6 linked regions of the Kluyveromyces lactis genome follow. The protein of the gene in region 5 interacts with the protein of the main gene of each other region in a biochemical or structural test. Links are inferred from orthologs where the notes say so. Each region holds a gene or a part of one and is shown on either strand. Other genes may lie near its edges.

Region 1 (3,777 bases), about 390 kb from region 5:
CACTAGTTATGACATCTCTCGACTTCACGAAAAATCCCAAAGTAACAAAGACTATACTTGATGCCACGTTTAATAGGGAACCCGTAGTTATCCATTCTTTGAGATTTGAAGAAAGAAAATGGAAGATTGGGATATTCTCTGAGGGAATATTCAAGAAATATTCATTGGACTTGATACAATACTATCTTCGTTATTTGAAGATTATGTACCCATGCAGCTTTCACCCAGTTCAACTTCTTACTAACGAGCTGAGACTTTTAGGAATATATGGGGTTCCCGGCGTCCTGAGATTGCAAAGTTATCATACATTCAAAAAGCTTGATATGCTCTTTAGTTATGTCAATACCCGTGGTAAGTTATGGTTAGGTAAAGATGAAGAAGAACTGAAAGTGTTATTAGACGTTCCTACACCCTACTTATCTGAGTCGGAACGGTTCATAAAGTTAGAACCGGAGGAGATAAACGGCATTCAAACTTTCTTGAAATACAACCTAGCTGAGTTTCAGAAGCTGAGAAATTGTTTGATTATTTTGAAGAAACTTGCGATAGTACAACAAATCAAACACAGAGATGTCATAACGATGCGAAACTCTTTCCTATCTTTGGGGAACCAAATGTCGCAAAAAGGTGTAGCAAAAAGTTTTGAAAATACAAACTGCGCTTGGTCTTATGATCTTTCATATTATGAGTTTACTCGAAACTTGGAATATCTAGAGCACTCTGTTGTCACTTTACTTAATAACTTTGAGTCTCTTCTCGCAAAGACAACTTTATGGTGGAAACATTTTGGTGAATTAATGGAACTGAAGAAAGAGTGGAAGAAAAATTTCCCAAATGACAAGGCGCCTCCTTCTTCAGCAAACAGAAATTTTATAGATACCTACATTGAAGGTAAAAGGTCTAAATTTAGGAATAAGTTATCCAATCAACTGAAAATGAGCTCTTTGAACCTTAAGAAAATTGGCGGTGAAATCAAAACAACACATGAATCGATCGCAGTGGGGATAAATCTATTCATCGAATTCAAAGAGCAGTTTTACCACGATCATATCGTTAAATCCATAGTTGATCAAAGAATCAGGGAAAATAAACAAATCATGCAACAATTGATTGATACCATGAAAGGGCATGTTTAACTAGTCATATATAGATCAAATATATACAGTCAAAAAGGACAAGCAAAAGTTTGGGTATACTGGTTATTGCTGGCTGCCGTTGCCGCCACCAAACATGTTTTTGGCCATGTCTCTAATAGATGGGTCATTCATCATTTGACTCAAATCTGGCATGCCGCCACCAGATGAGAATTGGTTGGCCATTTGCTTCATTGCTGGATTGGACATCATATCCTGCATTAGACCTGGATTTTGCATCATCTTTTCAGCGGCTTGCATAACTTGAGGGTTGTTTAGCAGTGCTCCTAAACCACCGCCTAGACCGCCACCACCTAACAAGCTTGAAAGATCTGGTAAGCCACCAGCGCCTGCACCAGGACCTTCAGTCGCAGATTTGTCAGAAACATCTTCAGAAGAAGCGCTGGTAGAGCTCTTCTCTAAGTTCATTGAGGTTTCTACCTTCTTCTTGGCAGTTTCGTAATCTCTTTTCATAACGTCAGTAGCTTTTTCCCCTTCGATATCTAGGACCTTCTTGTAAGCATCTAAAGCTTCTTCAGGCTTATTCAAAGCATACTTCGCAAATCCAAGTCTAGAAAAACCCTTAGAATATGTAGGATCAACTTCAATAGCTTGCTCGGCGTCCTTAACGGCCTGTTCGTACTGCTTCAAAGAAGAATAAGCTGCAGCCCTGTTCGAGTAGTAAACAGCGTTAGATGGAGAAACTTCGATAGCAGCAGTGTATTTTTCAATAGCCTCATCAAATTTCTTAGCAGCCATGGCCTTGTTACCCTGTAGCTTTAATTCTTCAGCCTTGGCCTTAGCTGCTGCATCTTCAACTGGAATATGAACCTTCACTGGTTCACCAGAAACGCCTCCAGAAGAGGGAGCTGAGGCTAATAGTTCAGGTAATTTCTTGCCATTAAAAGGACCAGAGATTAAAGAATCAGTCTCATCTCTTTCAAATTGGAAGGCCTCAGTGATACAGTCGATGGCAACATTCAACGAATCAACATAGTCTTCGTTTACTGAAGAAGACGATGATGACAAAAAGTCAACAATCAAAGCAGCAATTTCCTTATTAGATAGGGACATTCGGATTTTCTAAACTTTTGACAGTGCTTTAAGATGAAATAAGGATCACAAACCGCTGTATACGATAAGATGAAGCAGTAACAAAGGACGAGTCAATGATAACTCTTCTTTGAAAGTACATAAAATCCAGGCAACTTGTCATTTAAGCACTATTATAATAAACTTTTTCCTGAATGTGAATGGCGAAAAAATGATAAGTACGGAAAAACCTTCGGTTAGAGAAGGCAACAGAAGACGAAAGATTCACAGAGACACGTCAATTTCACATCGTTAGCATTTTTAAGCTGACTCGTGCCGTCTTAATTGAGAAGTAGTGATATTTGATAGAAGCTACTAATAGTTTGGAACCATCAACCATGGAAAGGAAGTTCAAAGAGTTGCTGGCTCCTTGAAAGAAGGAAAAAGTTAATCAAAAACAAAATCTTCCCCGCCAGGACTCGAACCTGGAATCTTCTGGTTTCAGAAGTAGCTAACATCGTAGCCAGACGCCGTGACCATTGGGCCACGAGGAATAAGATTTCGTGACGGTTACTACTTTTCGTTCTATATAACAGCTACAACAGATCATATGATACTTTTAAAGTAATATTCAGACTTTACCTATTTAGTGAGTATGCCGTTACACAAATACGGTGCATCCAGCATGGAGAGTTTTACTATATTGAATTTCATTACGAAGAATTGTTTTTCTCATTTACGAGTCTTATACTGGTGCTTTTTGTCTTTGTTTATTTTTGATCGAAACTGACATTCGATATATGAATACTAATTAAAGTGTAAGTAGAATCCTAAATGATTAAACAGAGGAGTGAAATATATATCCCGGTTTTGCTCTTGCAAGGTACGCCCCGTATCATTACTGCTATTATAAATTTTAACATCTATAAATCTTGCAAAGTGCTGTTTCTCATTTCGAATAATTTATAATTGTTCCATATCCAAAATGTCACAAAACATGAGAAGCCCAAGGAACAATTGGCAAGCACCCATAAATCAGGGTATTTTGATGGCGGGGAGACGTAATAGTCTAGAAAATGAATAATCCCCATTGCAATATATGAGCCAACAATGATTAATCTCCATATTAGGCTCTTGGGTAGTAAACTTGCCCGTCTATAATCAACATCTATATCACTGATGGATGGCCCTGGTGTCAAAAATTTTGGGAGGAAGCGTGGTGTGACGAAACTGAAGTTACCGATCAACCAATTGCTAAACATGAACATGACTCCATATTGCAATACTAGATTGTCCTTTTTCAGTAATGGCCAGAGTGTAAACAATGCCACGTTGTTAATCCAACAAACCAATGATAGAACATTCCAATCTCTTGACGTGTACAAGAGTGTAATAGGAAGTAAAGGTAATAAGATTGTCTTTTCATGAACCTGGAAGCTGAATAAGAAGAATGACATCGAACATGCGGCCAAAGCATATGGTAGTAAATGTCTCTTCGGGTATAAAAATGTTATAATGAATGATGGTAAAAGCCCAATAACTGTTGCGAGTAATGAGTATAATTGAAGATCCTTCTGAGTGAATAGATTTCTATATTTGATGAAAATATTAG
Region 2 (3,359 bases), about 700 kb from region 5:
GATTACATCCAAAAACTTTGAAGCATTAAAAGGATTTGAACAAGATTTCTATGACAAGTTGGTAATTCAATTGGTTAATAAGAAGAATAATAAGTTTGAAGAAGGTTCAAAGAAAATCGTCGAAGGCCTACGAGTAGCGGCACATAGTTATGAAATATTGCGTAACGAGGCGGTGTACGAAGGTCTTAAGACGGCCAGAGAAGAAAAGAAAAAACTGGTGCAAAAGCTTAAGAACAAAAACGCACCATCCGTTGATATAGTCACTGCCATGAGAAAAGAGATAAATTACAGTTATAATCACAAGGTCATATTTGCCTATTTGGACATTAATGAATCCCCTTCTCTCTTGAATAATAAAGGTCTAAATGTTTACTTCAGGAAGTTCAAGACTGGTGATATCATTGTCGTGGACAAGCAAAAAGCCATCTATTACGAAAAGGATGCTTCTGGACAATACATCACCCTAGAGACGTTGCCCGAAGTCCTCTCCATTCTGAATTTCCCCGCAAGACACCCTGATCTTCGTATTGAACGCATCTTTTTGAGAACTCCACTCAGTGGATTGCTCAGATTAATTGACTACCTCCGCGAATTTAGCGGAATCAATTACTTATTTGTTGTGGTGACATTCTTGGCGTTATGGAAAATACCCAGAACCATTCATCATTATAAACTGAAAAGACGTTACGCTGCAAAACGGGATACTCATGGTATCCTCGGGAAGGAAGCTAAGCTCATGGATTGAGGAACAGGAATTCTTCCTATAAATAATCTTATATTTCAACCTAATACTGATAGTTACGATTTATTAATATATCTTTTTAATGGTACATATAATGCGTGAAGGAATGCGTTTAACCAATACGAATTAGATATACATGCTCGATGGGATACTCTTCAGTACATGACCCTTTTGTGGTTTTTTATTTCGCTCTCGCTCTCTCAACGTATCCAGACGTAGAAGAACAAAAGTGTCAGAACACCAAATATTATGAACCATATTTTTAATGGAATGCGAGAATTCTGAGCCATCACCATCATTCTCTTGAAAGTCCTTTTCAAACGGTTGCTAGTCTGTTCAAAAACGTTTCCTAACTGATCTAAGGTCTGATTGCTACCACGAATCTCATCTCCCATTCGTAGAGATAAATTCTTTAGTGCGTTGATCTTTTCACTCATGGTATTCATTTGTTCATCACTTTGAGACTCGAGCTGCGAAAGTGTTGCTTGAGAATAATCTACCCCTGGGGATGGTCTATCAAACGGCGAACTTGGTCTATCCTGTTGTTGTTTATACTTAGAGAAGTCAGTACCCGCAAACAATTGCGTCCTACTCGCATCTCGCTGTGTCAAATCACCTTGCATTCCACTATAGTTTGAACTCATACCTTAATTATTTCTAGTGCCTCAACAATAAAATACAAAGTGTAGATTTGTCAAGATACTCAGATCTAACCATAGGGAATTAAGTGCAGTTTCACCTTGGAACTTCCTAGTCCATCTGTAAGCTACTACCAAATCGATTCGCTTAACGAAAACTTTTTGTTGAAGTTTAATCACGTGATATTGTCCTCGAAGGTTTCCCCTTCGCTCTGACAAAGGTATCATTATCATCATGAAATCCTAGTTAAGCTAAGAGTTAAATGTATTAGTCAACCTACTGTTTAAACGGCTGAGAAAAGTATTTGCAGTATACCCTTTTATAAGTATTCTGTCCACTGTGAGCATATACAGTCATATCTGCAGTGGCTGGTACGTTTAGTGTCCCAGGATCATAATCAATTGTATCTCGATGTCAGCTGAAACCGAATTATTGGGTATGCCTGAGTCCTTAAAGGACATCAAGCACATTATATTGGTCCTTTCTGGTAAAGGTGGTGTTGGTAAGTCATCTGTCACCACACAGACAGCATTAACTTTATGTTTAAAGGGATACAAAGTGGGTGTTTTAGACATTGATCTAACTGGACCGTCGTTGCCTAGAATGTTTGGTTTAGAAAATAAACAGGTTTATCAGGCTTCTAAGGGTTGGATACCCGTTAGTGTTCCTACGACATCAGGAGGGGAATTGAAACTCATGTCCTTGGGTTTTCTTTTGGATGATAGAGGTAATAGTGTGGTATGGCGTGGTCCTAAGAAAAGTGCTATGATTAAACAATTTATAAAAGATGTGGATTGGGGAGATTTGGACTATTTGATTATCGATACACCGCCCGGAACTTCGGATGAACATATATCTATCGCAGAAGAGTTGAGGTGGGCTGCACCTGATGGTGCTATTATTGTTACCACGCCTCAAGGTGTCGCTACGGCAGACGTGAGAAAGGAAATCAATTTCTGTAAGAAAGTCAACTTCAATATACTCGGTGTCATCGAGAATATGTCCGGATTTATATGTCCTCATTGTGCTGAATGTACAGATATCTTCTCTAGAGGAGGCGGTTTCAAATTAGCCAGCGAATATAACGTTCCGTACCTGGGGAATATTCCAATTGATCCGACGTTTGTCGAGTTGATTGAGAAACAGACTGGGTTCAAAGAGAGCTTAGTTGATCTCTACAAGGATTCTGGATTGTATGTCATTTTCTCAAAGATATTAGATAATGTACTGAACGGTGAAGTAAAAAGTGGAACAGATCAATAATGGGTAAATTTGACATGAAACTTTTCATAAGTCAGCCGATTTGCTCATGCCTCGAGGTCTAGTGAACGGTTCTGTGATACATATATGCTCAAGAGTTGTAGCGATTGATGGCCTTGATGTACTCCGGATTGATGACAGTGCTAATGGCGCCGAGGATATCGACTGACGGTACGATTTGGTGGTGTTTGAGTCCGCTGAATTTCCTTTGGTACTATGATAATCTTTTTTAGCATTATTTTGGCTTCCATTTGTACTTTGCCTCGAATAAGAGCTGTTCAAACTCTCGGAATTAGCTTCGTTCTGTGACTGCCCACTATTGTCCTTATTCGCTTCGGTTTCTGTCGTGTTACTACTCTCTGGGAACCTTTCTTGCAACAGCTTTGAAATTTTGCTGAATTGCGTCGCATCAACTTTTATACTACCGTTTCTAGTTACGTAGTCTAATAATTCTTCATTCACATCTCTGATTATTCGTACCTTCTTATCAATGTCAGAATATTTGCTTTCGAACTGTTTTAACTGTTTATCCGAATCCTTAGTGAATTTTGATCGTAGTTTTACTAACTTAGAAAAGCTAGACTCTAGTTTTTTTACCGAGTGGTTGATCTTGTTATTTACTTCTTTCGTCTGCGATTGTTCTGTATCGATTTCTTCCTGAAGTCTCGAATAAATTATGGCAACATCGTCACTGATTTGATTTACTTCCTTGGCCACA
Region 3 (3,952 bases), on a different chromosome or scaffold from region 5:
TTCCAATATCATCAAAAGGAAATCCACCTCATATTCCATGTATATAGTAACATTCAATCAGTGCGATTTTCCTTTTAGCGACAATCATCAATCGTGTCAAATATCAGTTTTATACATACACTAATATAATTGTATACTTGTACATTATAGCATTATATTTGCCTAAACGAGACAAATGAGACAAATCATAAAAAAATCATAGCTCTGTGGTAATAGTAACAAGGCTGAAACTTACTTAAAATTCCACAACTGGGCCAACACCAACTGATCTCCAATTTGTCATATCGACATTCCAGTTCTTCCACTTAGCTAACATAACAGGGTCTGTCGTTGGATGCTGAATCTGTCTCGATGGCTCGAATTTGGATGGAGAATGTCTATCAAAGGAAGAGAATTCCACAGGGGTTAGTTGTGGTGATTGTGTTGCTCTAAGCTGCTCTACTTCTTGTCTAGACGTAGATAGCTCCTGCTGAGCGGACAGCAATTGTACAGTTTTATCATTGAGTTGAGATTTCATGATGTTTATCTGTTCTTCAAGCTCTTCTATGGAGCTTTCTTGATCTATGTTGACAAACTTCAATTGCTTTACTTGATCTTTTAGCTTTGAAACTTCTTCCTTGAGGTTTATTACTTCATCTTGGCTTTTCTGTTCTTGTATCGTCGAAAGGAAATCTTTCTCTTTATCATCATTCCCGCCAAACAATTCTTCAACTTCATCTGTACTTTTTGCCTCTATTGGTTCTTCCTCTTTTTGTTGAACTGCAAAAGCTTCTTTAGACACTTCCTCGGTTGGGTTGGGTATATCAGTTGCTTCCTTCTCGAGGACTTCCTCCTCGGAGTCTTTCTTGTTCTCCGCAGACTCTTTTTCAGACTTCTCCACAGACTCCTTTTCAAACTTCTCTTCGTTGTTGTCATTGCCCTTTGCATCAGCATTTATCTCAGCCTTTTCTTCAGCTTTTGTCTCTTCCACGATTGGTTGTTCATCTGAATGAACCGGACTCTCTGATACATTAGTATCAGTCGGTTCCAATTCAGTTTCAGTTTCAGTTTTGACTTCAGCTGCTTCAAGATCTTCCTTGTCCTTCTTCTTCTTATTCTTCTTGTTTTTATTCTTCTTCTTTAACTCTTCAACCCTTATCTTGGCTTCTTCGAGCTTTCTGGCTCTTTCTTCCTCGGGGGATAGTTCAGACATAATCAACTGTTCGAATGTGTGTACTCACTTGCATTGAAGACGCCAATTGGTTTTAATATTTAGCTCGCAATTGTTTCAGATTTGGCATTCACCATGTAAATTCTTATTTCATATGGGGCAACTTTTTTTTTTGATCTAAACGTGTCGTTATGGTTCACACATATTTAATAAGAAAGGAATCACCATCATTGAGGCAAACATCGATCAAATAATATCGTTTAATTTCACAATGTTTCAAAGCCATTTAGGTTCGAAAGAGAACAAGATTCAAGACTTTTTGAGAAGCAAACTCAAAGTATTTGTACCATGTTCTTTATTATTCGGTATGCGATTGGTAAATATCAAATTATTATCACCACCGTATATAGTGACGTGTTCTTTAAAAGAACGTAGAAGAAGTCTTCAGCAAGATATTTAGCATTTGTTGTCACTTTTAGTGGCGACATGCGTAGATAAACAGAAGTTTTACAACTAAGACGCCCTCTTATTTCAACTGTAGGAATAACAATCAGTAAGTGTGTAAACCTGAGACCAAGTAAAGCGGAAAAGTACAATGGATTTAACAGTTGAACCAGATCTAAACTCTTTGATAACTTCCTCAACACACAGATGGATATTTGTCGGTGGTAAGGGTGGTGTCGGTAAGACGACGTCATCTTGTTCGATTGCCATTCAAATGGCTTTGGCACAACCAGAGAAACAATATCTATTGATTTCTACAGATCCTGCACACAATTTAAGCGACGCCTTCGGTGAGAAGTTTGGTAAAGATGCAAGAAAAGTCACTGGGATGAACAACTTGTCATGTATGGAGATTGACCCTTCTGCCGCTTTGAAGGATATGAATGATATGGCTGTTGCCAATAATGCAACTGGATCGGGAGAGTTCAGTGATCTTTTGCAAGGTGGTGCACTATCTGAATTGACAGGATCGATTCCAGGTATTGATGAGGCACTTTCTTTCATGGAAGTGATGAAACACATCAAAAACCAAGAACAGGGTGAAGGTGACAGGTATGATACCGTTATTTTTGATACCGCACCAACAGGTCACACTCTAAGGTTTTTACAGTTACCAAGCACTCTATCTAAACTCTTGGAGAAATTCGGAGAAATCACTGCAAGATTGGGACCAATGTTGAATTCTTTGGCTGGTGCCAATAACGTCGATCTTGTTGGTAAAATGAGTGAATTGAAGTCTAATGTGGAAAAAATCAAGGAACAATTCACCAATCCTGATATGACAACTTTTGTCTGTGTTTGTATCAGTGAGTTCTTGTCTTTGTACGAAACTGAAAGATTGGTACAGGAATTGATCTCATACGATATGGACGTGAACTCCATCATTGTAAACCAGTTATTATTTGCTGAGTATGACGAAGGAGACAGCTGTAAAAGGTGCCAATCCAGATGGAAGATGCAAAAGAAGTATTTGGACCAAATTGATGAATTGTACGAAGATTTCCATATCGTTAAGATGCCATTGTGTGCAGGTGAAATTAGAGGTTTAAACAACTTGAAAAAATTCTCCCAATTCTTGAGAAAACCATACGATCCAGTTGCAGACAGCAAAGTGATTTATGAATTGGAACAACAAGACTGAAAGGAAGATAAATATGAATCATTGATACCTAGCATTACACGGCCAATCTATAATTTTTTATTATTTGTACACTAAATAATTGCAGAGCAGATTCTAAATTGAATCATTGCATCGAATTAGCCTCTATAATGTAGCATTAAACATCTACTTTAGTTGCAACATGAAAACATTATTACTTCAGGCTTCGTGATAGTAAACGAAAAGATCCGAAAGCTAAAAAAATTTTGGTAAATTGAAATGCTCCAGGGGAGGTTCGAACTCTCGACCTTCAGATTATGAGACTGACGCTCTTCCGACTGAGCTACTGAAGCAAATTTCTTGGAAAACTGAATTTTTAAAGAGTTTCATGCACTTGGGATTTGATGTACCATTGAGTCGCAGGGAATTAACTTCAAATCACTTATAAAACTCGCAACTCATTTATAACTTGAGGCATATAGAGTATGTCATATCTATTTAAGTCTCGTATTCATGATATCGGCCTCTCTTTGTGCTTTTAGTAACCATCGTTCAATCAAGGTGTCATATTCTGCTTGAATGTGTGTCAACCTTTCCTGTAAAAGATTGTTTTCTATGTTGATGCTGATCAATTCGTCATTCAAACGCTCAGCATCTCGATTTTTTACACTAATAACATCATGTAGTTGCCTTATTTCCTCTTCCTTTTCCGTAAGATGTTCCCTTAGATTCTTTATGCTGTTTTTAAGTCGTAGTTGGTCTTCGTTATCTTCCTCATTATCTCCAGACAGAAGTGAGACCGTTTCGAAAAGATGCGAAAATCTCTTATCAACCAAATCCCTAACTTTCAATTTATCTAGCAACGGCAGTTCCATGTCACAAGCTCACTAAGATCTGCGTGACATGTTACGTTCTTTTAATTCCATCTCAAGCACTTGCATGAAGCTTCACATTTTTCCTATTTATGATTGATTCTCTAAAATCTAAAACAACAAAATAAAGGGAAGCCTTGTAATCACAACAAAACCAAATAAGCGAAGAATAAAAATCCTCCTTCAATAATCGTTTGGCCTTATTTTGACAAGATATTACCATAGTCTATATTAGTTCGAGGTGAACCTCCTTCCACATGATCAACTAGTACTGTACATCAGCACATTAGATTAGTGAACCATCTCGCATGTCCGAACCCATCAATT
Region 4 (3,672 bases), on a different chromosome or scaffold from region 5:
CCGTCACCCAGGCCCGAATGTCTGACGTTAACGATGTGAATATGGAAATGGTAGTATGAGGGTTGGTAATGGATAAAGAGTCTTAGTTGATCAGCGGGAACCAAGTAATTGTAGCAACTAGGAACCACAGATCTTATCTTATTCTTCATATCGATCAACCATTGTTGATGTTCGGGTCTCAAGTCTCTTAACGATTTAATATCGTCCCTATGTACAATAGCAACCAAATAAAGGGCATCCATATTGACACCATCCCATTTCATATCAGGGAGCACCACAAAGCCGTCTTTGGGGCTCTCTTGGTCGAAGTACTTGAACACGACCCTGTCACTCTCTGCTCCGTTATACAAGATGTTCTGAACCCATTGCAACCTACCGTTATTGACCATATCATCCACATAAGGCTTCACGATACGCTTATATATCTCTGGGGTTTCCCTCACCATATGGCACAACTGCTTATCGTACTTCTCGATATGAACCTGTGTGGCAGGCCATATCAAGTTGATCTTTGCCGTGGGGTTTAACTCCAAGTCCTGCTTCATCACAGACATCCCCCAGAAATAAATGTCGTTATTTGCTATTGGTTTCAACGTCTGAATGGAATTCATACAAGAATATTCAGATTCACATTGGTGCAACGACAACGTAGACGAATTGGGATTGTTCACCACTTTATCAAACTGGAAGTGTGTCTTCTCTAGAGTCACGATAGCATCCTGACCCTTAATCGTACCTAATAATGAAATTTGCTTGGTTTGCGGATTAGAGTTCAAGACCCTGCTAAATCGAAACTCATCGATCAAAGCTCTGAAATCAACGGCATCTGCATCATTGTCTCCCATATTGTCTATTCACGAGTACTACAATAACCTCAATGTATCTATCGTGTTGTATACCGACTTGTAAACTCTATTTTACTTTACTTTCTTACATGATATTTCCCTCTTCCCTTAAGGAAGATCATCTGCTTTTTAAAGGTTTTTCATGTTGAGAAAAGAATCGTTCAAGTGCAAAAAGGCGTATTGATGATGATGAGACATACGTTAGTCAGGGCACATTCAGAGCAATACTGAGCCAATATTTGTACATTTTTTTGCTGAAGTTTATACAGGGTGGAATTATATACATATTTAAGTGTACATAAGTGTATCGATACTTCTGTACAGCGAATACTTCATCTTAAGAACATCCACCACAATAAGAATACGAAAAAGAATGCTATGATCGCAATTGGCGCGTACTGGCTAATCAATAGGTCGAAGTTGATCTTTTGTGCGGAGGCTCTGTACTTTTTAGCGTCTTGTCTTAGGGACGCACTCATATCACTCATCTTATCCAAGGAATCACCTCTGTACAATAGATCTTCGATGTTTTTTGTCATGATTTGTTTGACACCTTTTAGATCCTGATTCAATTGGTCCATGTTCCCCTGTACTCTTTTGTCGTTGTAAACTTTCTTGGTCTTTTGTAAGAAGTTGTCGAAGGATACGAACTCATACGGTCTAACGTTCGATTTCGAGAGTTGTCCCCCGTAACTGTGTTCGAATTCTTGTTGTATATCTGCCAAGTATGAGAATGCCAAATTACGTGGATAGTTCCTTTCTGCGACCACAATATAGACCACGGTGTTCAATCTGATATAATGGATCTCGAAATCACCACTTTCCACTGTAGCCTCGTTTGCTGACGTCGGAGTGAATCTTGATATTAGGATCTTCACCTTCTTCTTTTGCTCTTGTAAACTGGGATCAGTGTCATCATCCACTGAGGCACACAATGGTAACCCATCTTCTCTGAAAATCAACGTAGAACGAATCATGCCCGTGCCTATTGCCTTGTAAATCACTTGCTAAAACTGAAAGATCGTTCAGTGCTTGGTACAGGGCAATACGTTTTCTAATTTGCTGAAGTTTCATTCATTAGTGATGGAAACTTGGTTTTGATTCGATTGATTTCATTCCATGTTGAAAAGACGAGTTTAAATCGAATAACGTGGACAAATACAAGGCTAAAAAGTGGGAGTATGAACCCCATACTGACTAGCATGGTGCCCTAACCATATGAGGGCTACGAGAATGGAAGAACGTATCTGCCAGAGACGGTTTCCCAGCTGTTTCTTCTGTGGTGTTGCGCTTAATGATTCGGTCCTAACACGTATTATTTAATAATTACCCTGAAACAAGAGTCTCTGTCAGATTCACAATTGAACCACCGATCAACGTGTATTTCATACGTGGCCGCACGTTCATGTATCCTTCAAACTGACCACAGCTGGTAAGTCACAGCTATGTGTCTTGTGTACCCTGTTGATGAAATCGGTCTGAGAAACAGTCTATATATATAGTATTAAGGAACCGAAGATGTCAGACTTTATCAAGACCGACACCTCAAGAGTAGGACGTGAGAATCAGTTGTATTCAAGTGTCACTGGTGCTAGACTCGTTGCAGGATGTATAATACTGGATGAAAGCCGAGAGAATGTCTTAATGGTCCAGTCATCCGCTCATAAGAAGAGATGGGTGTTGCCAAAGGGTGGTATTGAAAGTGATGAACCTGACTTTGAGTCCGCTGCAAGAAGAGAGACCTGGGAAGAAGCTGGTGCCACAGGCGATATAGTGAAAGCACTTGGTTCCATTGAGGATATGAGACCTCCAAAGGACTGGAACCCAGATTTGGAAGCATTCGAGAGTTCGAATGACGAAACTGTTAACAAATGGCCTCCCAGGTCCGAATTCCATTTCTTCGAGATGATTAATGTTAAATTGGAGGACAATTATCCTGAAGTGAAGACAAGAAACCGTCAATGGTTCTCCTACGAACAGGCCAAAGAAAACTTGACCCGTGCCAAGAGGCCAGAGCTCATTGAGGCTCTGAATAGAAGTAGCATCAAGAAAAGTTAGCATTATATATAACATAGAGTATGTTTATACCGAAGACTATTATTATTTACCTCCAAAGAAACCAGACATCATATCTTGCAAGAAGTTGATTGGTTTCTCGACCTTGATACCGAAGTATTCTTGGCCCAAGAATTGTAGCTCAGAGTTGTATTTGTTGGCAAGAGTTGAGTATTGTGATTTTAGATTCTGGAAAAGAATAGTTTCTTGAGTTTGACATGCGATTATTAACAACTGTAAAAAGTTCAACGATTCCCACGATGAGAAATAATCAATCTTATATGGGCCTTTCTCTGTTAACTCAAATTTTACATCTGTCTTGTGATTGGTAAACCGTTTTAAAAGTTCTTTAGATCCCTCCAATGCATATTCGATATTGAAGATGAACAAATAGTTGAATATCATTCTTGATATGAAATCGGGGAAACTGGAGTCCTCACCGGATTGCTGATACCAGTCCCAAAGTAGATCCACATACCGCTTCATCGAGTCATGAGTACCTAGCACTAGATATCTTTCCGCTTCGTATGTATATCCACCTTCAAGTAATTTTGTAGCGATCGCTGAATGTAAGTATGGGTCACCAAACTTATATTCACTATGTTTCACAGACCAATTGTTCATCCCTGTCACTACATCCTTTAAATTTGGTTCCTGGCCGTCAACGAGGACGAGTAATTGAATGAGTCTAGAGACCGAAGAGTCATTGCATGGAACCGATGCCAAATCGTAAACTTCAAGTAGATAGAAGATCAAATCTGAACCAGAACCA
Region 5 (3,791 bases):
AAGGAAAAAAAAGAGCGTAGGAAACTGACCGATATACCTGTAGTTCCAGCTGACTCGGCTGATAGTTCAGTTGTGGGGTTGTATTATTGGGGACAAAGATTGGGAACTGATTCCAAAAAAGCCGTCACCAAGTTCCCATTGAGAGTTCCATTTTTCGATGGTATGAAACTAAGAGATGTTTGCTTAACTGATGATGGAAGTTACGGAAACCTAGCCGTAGACAAGGACGGAAATCTATTTGAGTGGGATAATAGTAAATGTAATTTACTGTTGAAAGATCAAAACTTGGTACAAATCAAAGTTTCGAACGATGTCGCTTATGGTTTGAATAAAAAAGGTGAAGTGCTAGTCATTCCTTTAAAGGATAAGAGCTTATTTTCAGATAAAATTAGTTGGTCAAGGTCACTGTTGCTTCCTTGGAAAACGTACTGCCGTTACTCTTGGAAGCTAGACACAAGATCTGCGTTCCGTTACTCTGGTGAAAAAAAAGTGATCCAATTTGACGTTGGTTCAAACCATTTGGTTCTTCTTTCGAATAAAGGGAAAGCTTATACATGCGCGACTGGTACTAAACACGTTGAAAATGAAAGATCTAAAGGACAATTCGGTATCCCAACGTTCTCGCAATTTGATCCATACCCCGAATTGAATAGGGTATACGAAATCGAACTATTAAATACCGGTATTGCTGGTGATCATGTCACATCCAGATCAATTTCCAAAATCGCATGTGGAGACTATCACACCCTTGCTTGTGACTCAGTCGGGGAACTTTATTCTTTTGGTCTAAATACTTATGGCCAACTCGGCCAAAGCATTAGCTACGATATGGAATATGTACCGTTCCCAAAGAAGGTTAGCAGCTTTAGCGGACACTTTGAGAAACATGATTTCTTGAAGTGTGTCGAAATTAATTGTTCTGGAAACACGTCCTTTGTTAGTATACTTCCACAGGATGTTCATAGATATTTCAAAAACAAGGACTTTGCAATTGATATTGACAATGACAAGGATAACATCACTTATTTTGCCTTTGGTAATGGTATCCAAGGGCAATTAGGTAATGGTCATTTCAAGCATTCGCAATCTACTCCTACTCGAATGAAGGTGATAAACGATCTCAAGGATAATACCGTAAATTCTGATAAGCGCATCTTGATCAGAGATTGGTATTGTGGAGAGCAGCATGCTTTTGTAAGATTAAAGAATGGTGAGATTATGTGCTGGGGTTATAATGAAAATGGCCAACTTGGTAATGGGAAGAAGATCAAATGGGACAAACCAGCTTACATTCCTAGATTGTTAGAACCAGGTGAAAGGTTCAACGGCAAGAACCTAGACATATTGTACGACGAAAATAATAAACTAGTTATTTCAGACGAACAGAGTCTAAGAGCTGGTAAGGAAGCATCTTGTTTATTCTGGAAGGCATAGCGAGTGACTCTCATTAGACCTGATTTTTAAAATCTTGTAAATACATCCTCTTCTCAGTATACGTTACTACGTTTTCATGAGAACATATTACGTCTTTATTTTTATAATGGTGGTAGTTACAAAGAAAGTCTATATTTATTAATATATCTCCGAGTTACTTTGATAAATCTTTATTACAAACATTGATCAGCCGAACCATTTTAGGACGAAATAAATTCCTAAGATTAACAATAGGAGACCAATGTAAAAAATGAGTTTGTCCTTGAACAACCTCTTATTAATCTTTTCGATTGTTTCATTTGATACTCCGAGTACGTGTAGAGATTTTGTCATCTGAGACTGCAATCTCTGAAGGACCCTGTTCTGTTCCATGATATCTTCCAAAGATTCCTGTCCCATCTGTAATATTCTGTCCAAGTGCGCGTTGCCTCTCTCAAAGATCGAGTTCTCTTTCCTCAATCCTTCATATAGTGGTAAACCAGCCGCCGAATTGATAGTCATTCTTTCACTGTTCTGATCTAAGGCGCCTATTCCGAAAGATGTTTGCGGAGGAGCATTGATGTTCCTTTTATTCATCACGGTCTCTTCCACCATTGATGCTTGCTGGTTGAACAACTGATCTCTCGCATTAATTTCTGAGTATTTTTGCTTCAATTCGGTAAATTTCTCTTTTGCATCTTCGTAATCCTGTGTTAAGGTCTGAAGTCTCGTCTCATACTTTAGTTTAGTTTCGTCGTTGTCATCTGAACTATTTATTTGATATTGCTTGTATTGTTCCTTGTACTGATGAAGCGTTTTCTCGAAAGAAACAAGGGTTGTGGCGATCGCCCCTTGCAAAGAGATCGGCGCTGTTACGAGCTCTTTCTCAAATTTACCCAAGTCTTTATTTAGAAGACTTCGCTGCTTGATGGCATGATTATACAACGCGTTCTAGTGATATCGTGGGAAACAATAATTAAGGTAAGTTAGTAAATAAGTAACACATACGCGACGCGTGTCTATAAATGTAGAAATACAATTAGAGCAGCGCTCCAGCGAAACATACCATCTTAGCCCTGTTGTGATCGCAAAAATTCTTGATCGCTAATGAAGATCCAAAAGATTCAAGAAAGGAATACTCTTGAGAAATACAGGAAAATGCTGAGTCAAACGTTGAGCGTCAATCGTCAATTCTGATCGATCTGAATTATCCCAATGCGTATGAATGTTCCATAAACTTTCTTAGTTTCCAGTGGTTCCACTGCTCACAGACGCAATCCTTGTTTAGAAGTTATTTACTGCTACTCAAGTATGACTGCTAAATTGTTGCTGGTTCAATATTATTAGTGGTTCACATTAAAAAAAAAATTAAAGATGCTGGTTTTGAGTCTCACATATATCTATATATAAAGATAGTTTAACAGCGAACCATATCCAGCATAGAGCGGTTGCATACGCACCTAAGTAATCGAATCAGAGTCTCTTCATATCAAATTCCTTCTTGACGATAGTGAGGTTACTGGAAACTGGTTTCAACCTACTCTGCTTTTTGCTTCATTATAAGTTGCCAGATTTTCAGTCCGTTTTGTTTTAGACAGAAAAAGGGATATCATCGGTATAGTATACATTCTATACCATCTTTGCTACTTTTCATTTAGATCTCATCAACACACCGATACATCTGAAAACAATATCAATAGCTTTCAATTGGTAATACTAGAGTTTATCCTCTTTTTTTTTTGCATTCTACGCATTACACTCTTATTTCCATAATAATGACCCCAGCTACCCCTCCAAGTTCTAGGAATAAGAGATCAAATAAGACAGATTTGCTGCTCGCAACTCCAGAGCGAGCCGCGGAATCTGATTCCTCTGGCATGGTTACTCCGGGGACAGTTAGAGTAAAGGATAGATTGCAGCCACCTACTAGACCCATGAATTTAACAAGTCCATGCCCGGCATTAAAGACACCTGAATATACCCCACATAAGAACAAACATACGAAACGCAGGATAGAGTTTGACCAGGAGAAGTTACAACCTGTCAGTAGGGTCTTGTTCGGATCGGATTTCCAAGTAGAAGAAACTTCAAACAACAGGACTTTGCTACCACCAAAGAGAACCGGTATAATGGAGTCTTTCAAAGGCGTTCAAAGTTATAATATCAATGATGAGTATGCTGTCAATAACAAATTCAAACTTGCTAAACAAGAGCCAGGAACTCCAAGTGACAAGATCACCACCTTTGAACTTGCTAGAAAATGGCATAACGAGTCTGGTCTGAATACATCGCAATCAGAAAACGAAGAAGAAAATATTCATATTGAACAACAACCTACGGCAGTCAACCAACATAGTAATTTAGAGAATCCATTTCTT
Region 6 (3,274 bases), on a different chromosome or scaffold from region 5:
AAGTGTTAAGCGATGGTCAAAGCAAGCAACAGATTGCTTCAATTATCCAAGAATTCAATGAGAAGCACAGAGTGCCAGCTGCTAAGGGTGAAGAGAGATATCTTGTGTCTGAATACAATAAATCTGGAAGTAAATATTTCGATCCAGTAAACAAGGTTTTATTTGCCGTAGACCATATTACCCGCGAAGCTAGTGATATTGAGGAATATACCAGTGAAGATGCCACTCAGGTACAATCAGACCTTTACGATGAATTGTCTAAATACGTTTCAAACTTCTTCCCTGATACAGCTGTGTTCAACGTGTTTAAGATTCCAGAGAGCGACCAATATGCCATAATCGTTGTCAGTAACAAGAAAAGTTTAGGTGATTTCTGGACTGGTTACTGGTTATCAGAATATGTGTATGATGTCGATGGGGATACGATCTCTGGCGAAGTCTCCGTCGATGCTCATTACTTCGAAGACGGTAACGTTCGTTTCAAATCAACTGCTTCCTTGGAATCAGCACAGACGGATTCACCAATAGTAAGCATCAAGCAGTTTGAGAACGAGTTTGAAAAGAATCTCATCAATAAGTTCCAGTACATGAATGAAACACAGTTCAAGGGATTGAGAAGAAGATTACCCGTGACTAGAGCCAAGATCAACTGGGGACAAGGGATCGGTAATTACAGATTGGGAAGAGATGCTGCTCAAGGTGCATGAAAGGATGATGCTATGACATTACATTACCTGAATGTATACATATGTGTATATACAACGAATATCTTCTGCTTATTCAAACTTCTTCCTATAAAGAAGAGTACTTGCGGTCAGTAAGCAAAAGGTTCTTAAAATACCTTATATATCGTGTACAATATGAAGAAACACAATAATGATACACCCACCATACGCCATATATTATTACCGGCATTCATAGATCTCTGGAGCCTTGTAGATGAGTTCTTGACATTAAGGAAAAGTTGACCGAATGAGTTCTGTATATTGTCGATAAGGGAGCTGTCATTTGCGGCTTGATTTCCAATATCTTGGTTGATATTTCTGAATGTAGATAGTTTATTGGCCAATTCGTCTAACCTTTGATTATTCTAAAGAAAATGTTTGAGCGTTACGTTAGTAAATTTCGATCTTAAAGTGGCACTTGCATACCGTACAGTCGGTAAGGATACTGCGCCTGTAGGTTCAAGCCTATTCTGCCATCAAACGTCTTTTTGGTAGAACATACATCATTTTCCACCTGTGAGTACTTGGAATCCGACATGGTGAGAGTTCACTTTATGCAAGAGTGGCTCTATATCGCGTTCTAGTTGCTAAATGTGAACGTTTCGCTATAATATAAACTCTGAGGTGCACTTTGATCCTGCCTTTTAAGGTACAGACAGTGTTTCAATTCTATCGCTCATAATAATGGGAATTGAATCTTCAAAACACGTTAGAAATGATATTTCATTTCAGTCAGCGAAGCATAGCGAAAGGTACAAGAAAGCTACGGTGAATACAAATACTATACATGACGCTGTTAACGGTACAAAGCGAAAACCATAATTATCGAAATCAGAGTAGATCTTGGTGTTTGTTAGTTTTATAATTTTCATATGAAATCAACGTTAGGCAACTGTTTTCATCTCGTAAAGATAGTTATGGTTCGCTTTATCCTCCATACCTGAGAAATATGTGGTATATATAAGTATGATCACAATTGGAACATGACTAGGTGCAGAAGTACACGATAATTATCTCCTCACCTCTGCTGAGGTGAAAGAAAGAGAAGAATTAGTTATAATGAATGTGTTGTAATGAAAGGATTCTTTTCTATAATAGTCAGACCGAAAGTTATTCGCATACCACAAGACTCCCATAATGGAACTAGGCATGTCCCGAGATGACTTGCCCTCGATCGCAAATTATAAAACATCATTCAAAAGAAAAGAAGCGAACCCCAAAACCACGAAACATTATGATAAGAATTCTTCTCAAATCCATACTTCCTGCTGCTAAATCTCAATCATCACTAAAACTAGGTATAGTAATAGCAGTGGCTACTGCTCATGCTGTTACTATTATTATTAAAGTGACGAACAAGCTTCATACTTGAAACACAATCCTAATATTAACTGTCTAACAATACCACCGTTTAATCGTGTGAATACAAACAGCATACCTCATCTCATACGCTCTCTTTATATATAATTCAATCAGCATGCGGACATTGATAACAATTTTCGTGGGACTGCCCTTTTATACACCTGTACATCTCATTATATTTCAATAATGTCCTTTAAACACCCAACCATTACATATTTTGTTGCGCCTGTGTTAGGATGAAAATGAATTCGTCCTGTAATATAATACCTAAATTGGAATAGGTATGTATTTTAAACCCGTAGCCCACATACATTGTTACCCACGCAACTTTTTCATCAATAAGCACTCCAAGGTACTCTGCGTCCTGGATTCTGACAATAGCGAATTCCAGCTTCACCGGATAGACACGCACAGACACACAGGGCTGCGTTGGAAGTTTGAGTTTGGAACCAAGGTTTAACAAAATTGTTTGACTACTTTATCTGTTACACTATTTGAAGGTATACTATAATAACGGTTTAATACTTACTATTACGTTATATTAGATTAGGTTTGGTCTTGATTTACAGAACGGAAGAAGAACCAAGTGAAAGATGTCCACTGATTCTGTTGTTAAAGCTTCTAACTGGAGATTGGTCGAAGTTGGCCGTGTTGTTTTGGTTAAACAAGGCCAATCCGCCGGCAAGTTGGCCACTATTGTTGAAATCATTGACCAAAAGAGAGTATGTTTTACAGATTATAATGAAACGGAGATTCCCTGTACAGTACCATCTTTCCATTTGAAATAAGAACAGATATCGATCACACTGCGATCTGGTATTCTTATGCTTTATTTGGGAAAGTTGCATAGATGTATAGGATCGAACCGAAGAATAATATGAGGAAGAGGAAAGAATGATTCATGATAAACTGTTTCCCGAGTTAAAGAAAGTATACTTTGAGAAATGAATGAAAAACTATTGTACTGAACAGACATCGAGAGAGAGGTTTAGACTACGTTTGTTTTCCCTCCTTCTGGTAAGGTTAGGAATGTGTCGTTAATACTCGATGGCTCTCGTACTTGGTATGAACATGACAGTCCTTTTCCTAGTTATTTTTTTGTTTCTATCCATAAACTCGTATCGAACAATTTTTACTAACAAAATATCCATGACATTAACTTGTCTAATTTTAATTTCCTTCCAGGC

What was found.
Region 1: the proteins of BOS1 (region 5) and SGT2 form a complex in vitro, tested with the Saccharomyces cerevisiae proteins (4 studies listed by BioGRID). The link is inferred for Kluyveromyces lactis from reciprocal best matches to the Saccharomyces cerevisiae genes BOS1 and SGT2.
Region 2: the proteins of BOS1 (region 5) and BET1 form a complex in vitro, tested with the Saccharomyces cerevisiae proteins (2 studies listed by BioGRID). The link is inferred for Kluyveromyces lactis from reciprocal best matches to the Saccharomyces cerevisiae genes BOS1 and BET1.
Region 3: the proteins of BOS1 (region 5) and GET3 form a complex in vitro, tested with the Saccharomyces cerevisiae proteins (2 studies listed by BioGRID, with this or other methods). The link is inferred for Kluyveromyces lactis from reciprocal best matches to the Saccharomyces cerevisiae genes BOS1 and GET3.
Region 4: the proteins of BOS1 (region 5) and SEC22 form a complex in vitro, tested with the Saccharomyces cerevisiae proteins (3 studies listed by BioGRID). The link is inferred for Kluyveromyces lactis from reciprocal best matches to the Saccharomyces cerevisiae genes BOS1 and SEC22.
Region 6: the proteins of BOS1 (region 5) and SFT1 form a complex in vitro, tested with the Saccharomyces cerevisiae proteins (2 studies listed by BioGRID). The link is inferred for Kluyveromyces lactis from reciprocal best matches to the Saccharomyces cerevisiae genes BOS1 and SFT1.

Annotation. Positions count from the first base shown.
Region 1 is NC_006040.1:103,648-107,424, forward strand, and holds SGT2 (Sgt2p), read right to left. Parts: upstream 2,208-3,777; coding exon 1,200-2,207; downstream 1-1,199. Other genes in the region: KLLA0_D01133g (uncharacterized protein), read left to right, coding at 1-1,136; ALG6 (dolichyl-P-Glc:Man(9)GlcNAc(2)-PP-dolichol alpha-1,3-glucosyltransferase), read right to left, coding at 3,089-3,777. UniProt on the Saccharomyces cerevisiae protein: Co-chaperone that binds to the molecular chaperone Hsp70 (SSA1 and SSA2). Regulates Hsp70 ATPase activity. Required for recovery from heat shock.
Region 2 is NC_006040.1:1,198,356-1,201,714, reverse strand, and holds BET1 (Bet1p), read right to left. Parts: upstream 1,387-3,359; coding exon 943-1,386; downstream 1-942. Other genes in the region: protein disulfide isomerase EPS1, read left to right, coding at 1-745; iron-sulfur cluster assembly protein CFD1, read left to right, coding at 1,793-2,644; VAB2 (Vab2p), read right to left, coding at 2,669-3,359. UniProt on the Saccharomyces cerevisiae protein: SNARE required for targeting and fusion of ER-derived transport vesicles with the Golgi complex.
Region 3 is NC_006041.1:143,022-146,973, forward strand, and holds GET3 (guanine nucleotide exchange factor GET3), read left to right. Parts: upstream 1-1,745; coding exon 1,746-2,795; downstream 2,796-3,952. Other genes in the region: BUG1 (Bug1p), read right to left, coding at 236-1,192; ATG16 (Atg16p), read right to left, coding at 3,248-3,628; CVM1 (Cvm1p), read left to right, coding at 3,934-3,952. UniProt on the Saccharomyces cerevisiae protein: ATPase required for the post-translational delivery of tail-anchored (TA) proteins to the endoplasmic reticulum. Recognizes and selectively binds the transmembrane domain of TA proteins in the cytosol.
Region 4 is NC_006042.1:1,884,551-1,888,222, forward strand, and holds SEC22 (SNAP receptor SEC22), read right to left. Parts: upstream 1,823-3,672; coding exon 1,178-1,822; downstream 1-1,177. Other genes in the region: KLLA0_F20229g (uncharacterized protein), read right to left, coding at 1-845; polyphosphatase DDP1, read left to right, coding at 2,364-2,903; protein GET4, read right to left, coding at 2,946-3,672. UniProt on the Saccharomyces cerevisiae protein: Nonessential SNARE involved in targeting and fusion of ER-derived transport vesicles with the Golgi complex as well as Golgi-derived retrograde transport vesicles with the ER.
Region 5 is NC_006040.1:495,159-498,949, forward strand, and holds BOS1 (Bos1p), read right to left. Parts: upstream 2,483-3,791; coding exon 2,480-2,482; intron 2,365-2,479; coding exon 1,621-2,364; downstream 1-1,620. Other genes in the region: FMP25 (Fmp25p), read left to right, coding at 1-1,434; cyclin-dependent protein serine/threonine kinase inhibiting protein SIC1, read left to right, coding at 3,189-3,791.
Region 6 is NC_006038.1:1,175,088-1,178,361, reverse strand, and holds SFT1 (Sft1p), read right to left. Parts: upstream 1,264-3,274; coding exon 1,228-1,263; intron 1,091-1,227; coding exon 833-1,090; downstream 1-832. Other genes in the region: CAP1 (Cap1p), read left to right, coding at 1-707; RPL14A (60S ribosomal protein eL14), read left to right, coding at 2,681-2,809, 3,273-3,274. UniProt on the Saccharomyces cerevisiae protein: Vesicle SNARE required for retrograde transport within the Golgi complex.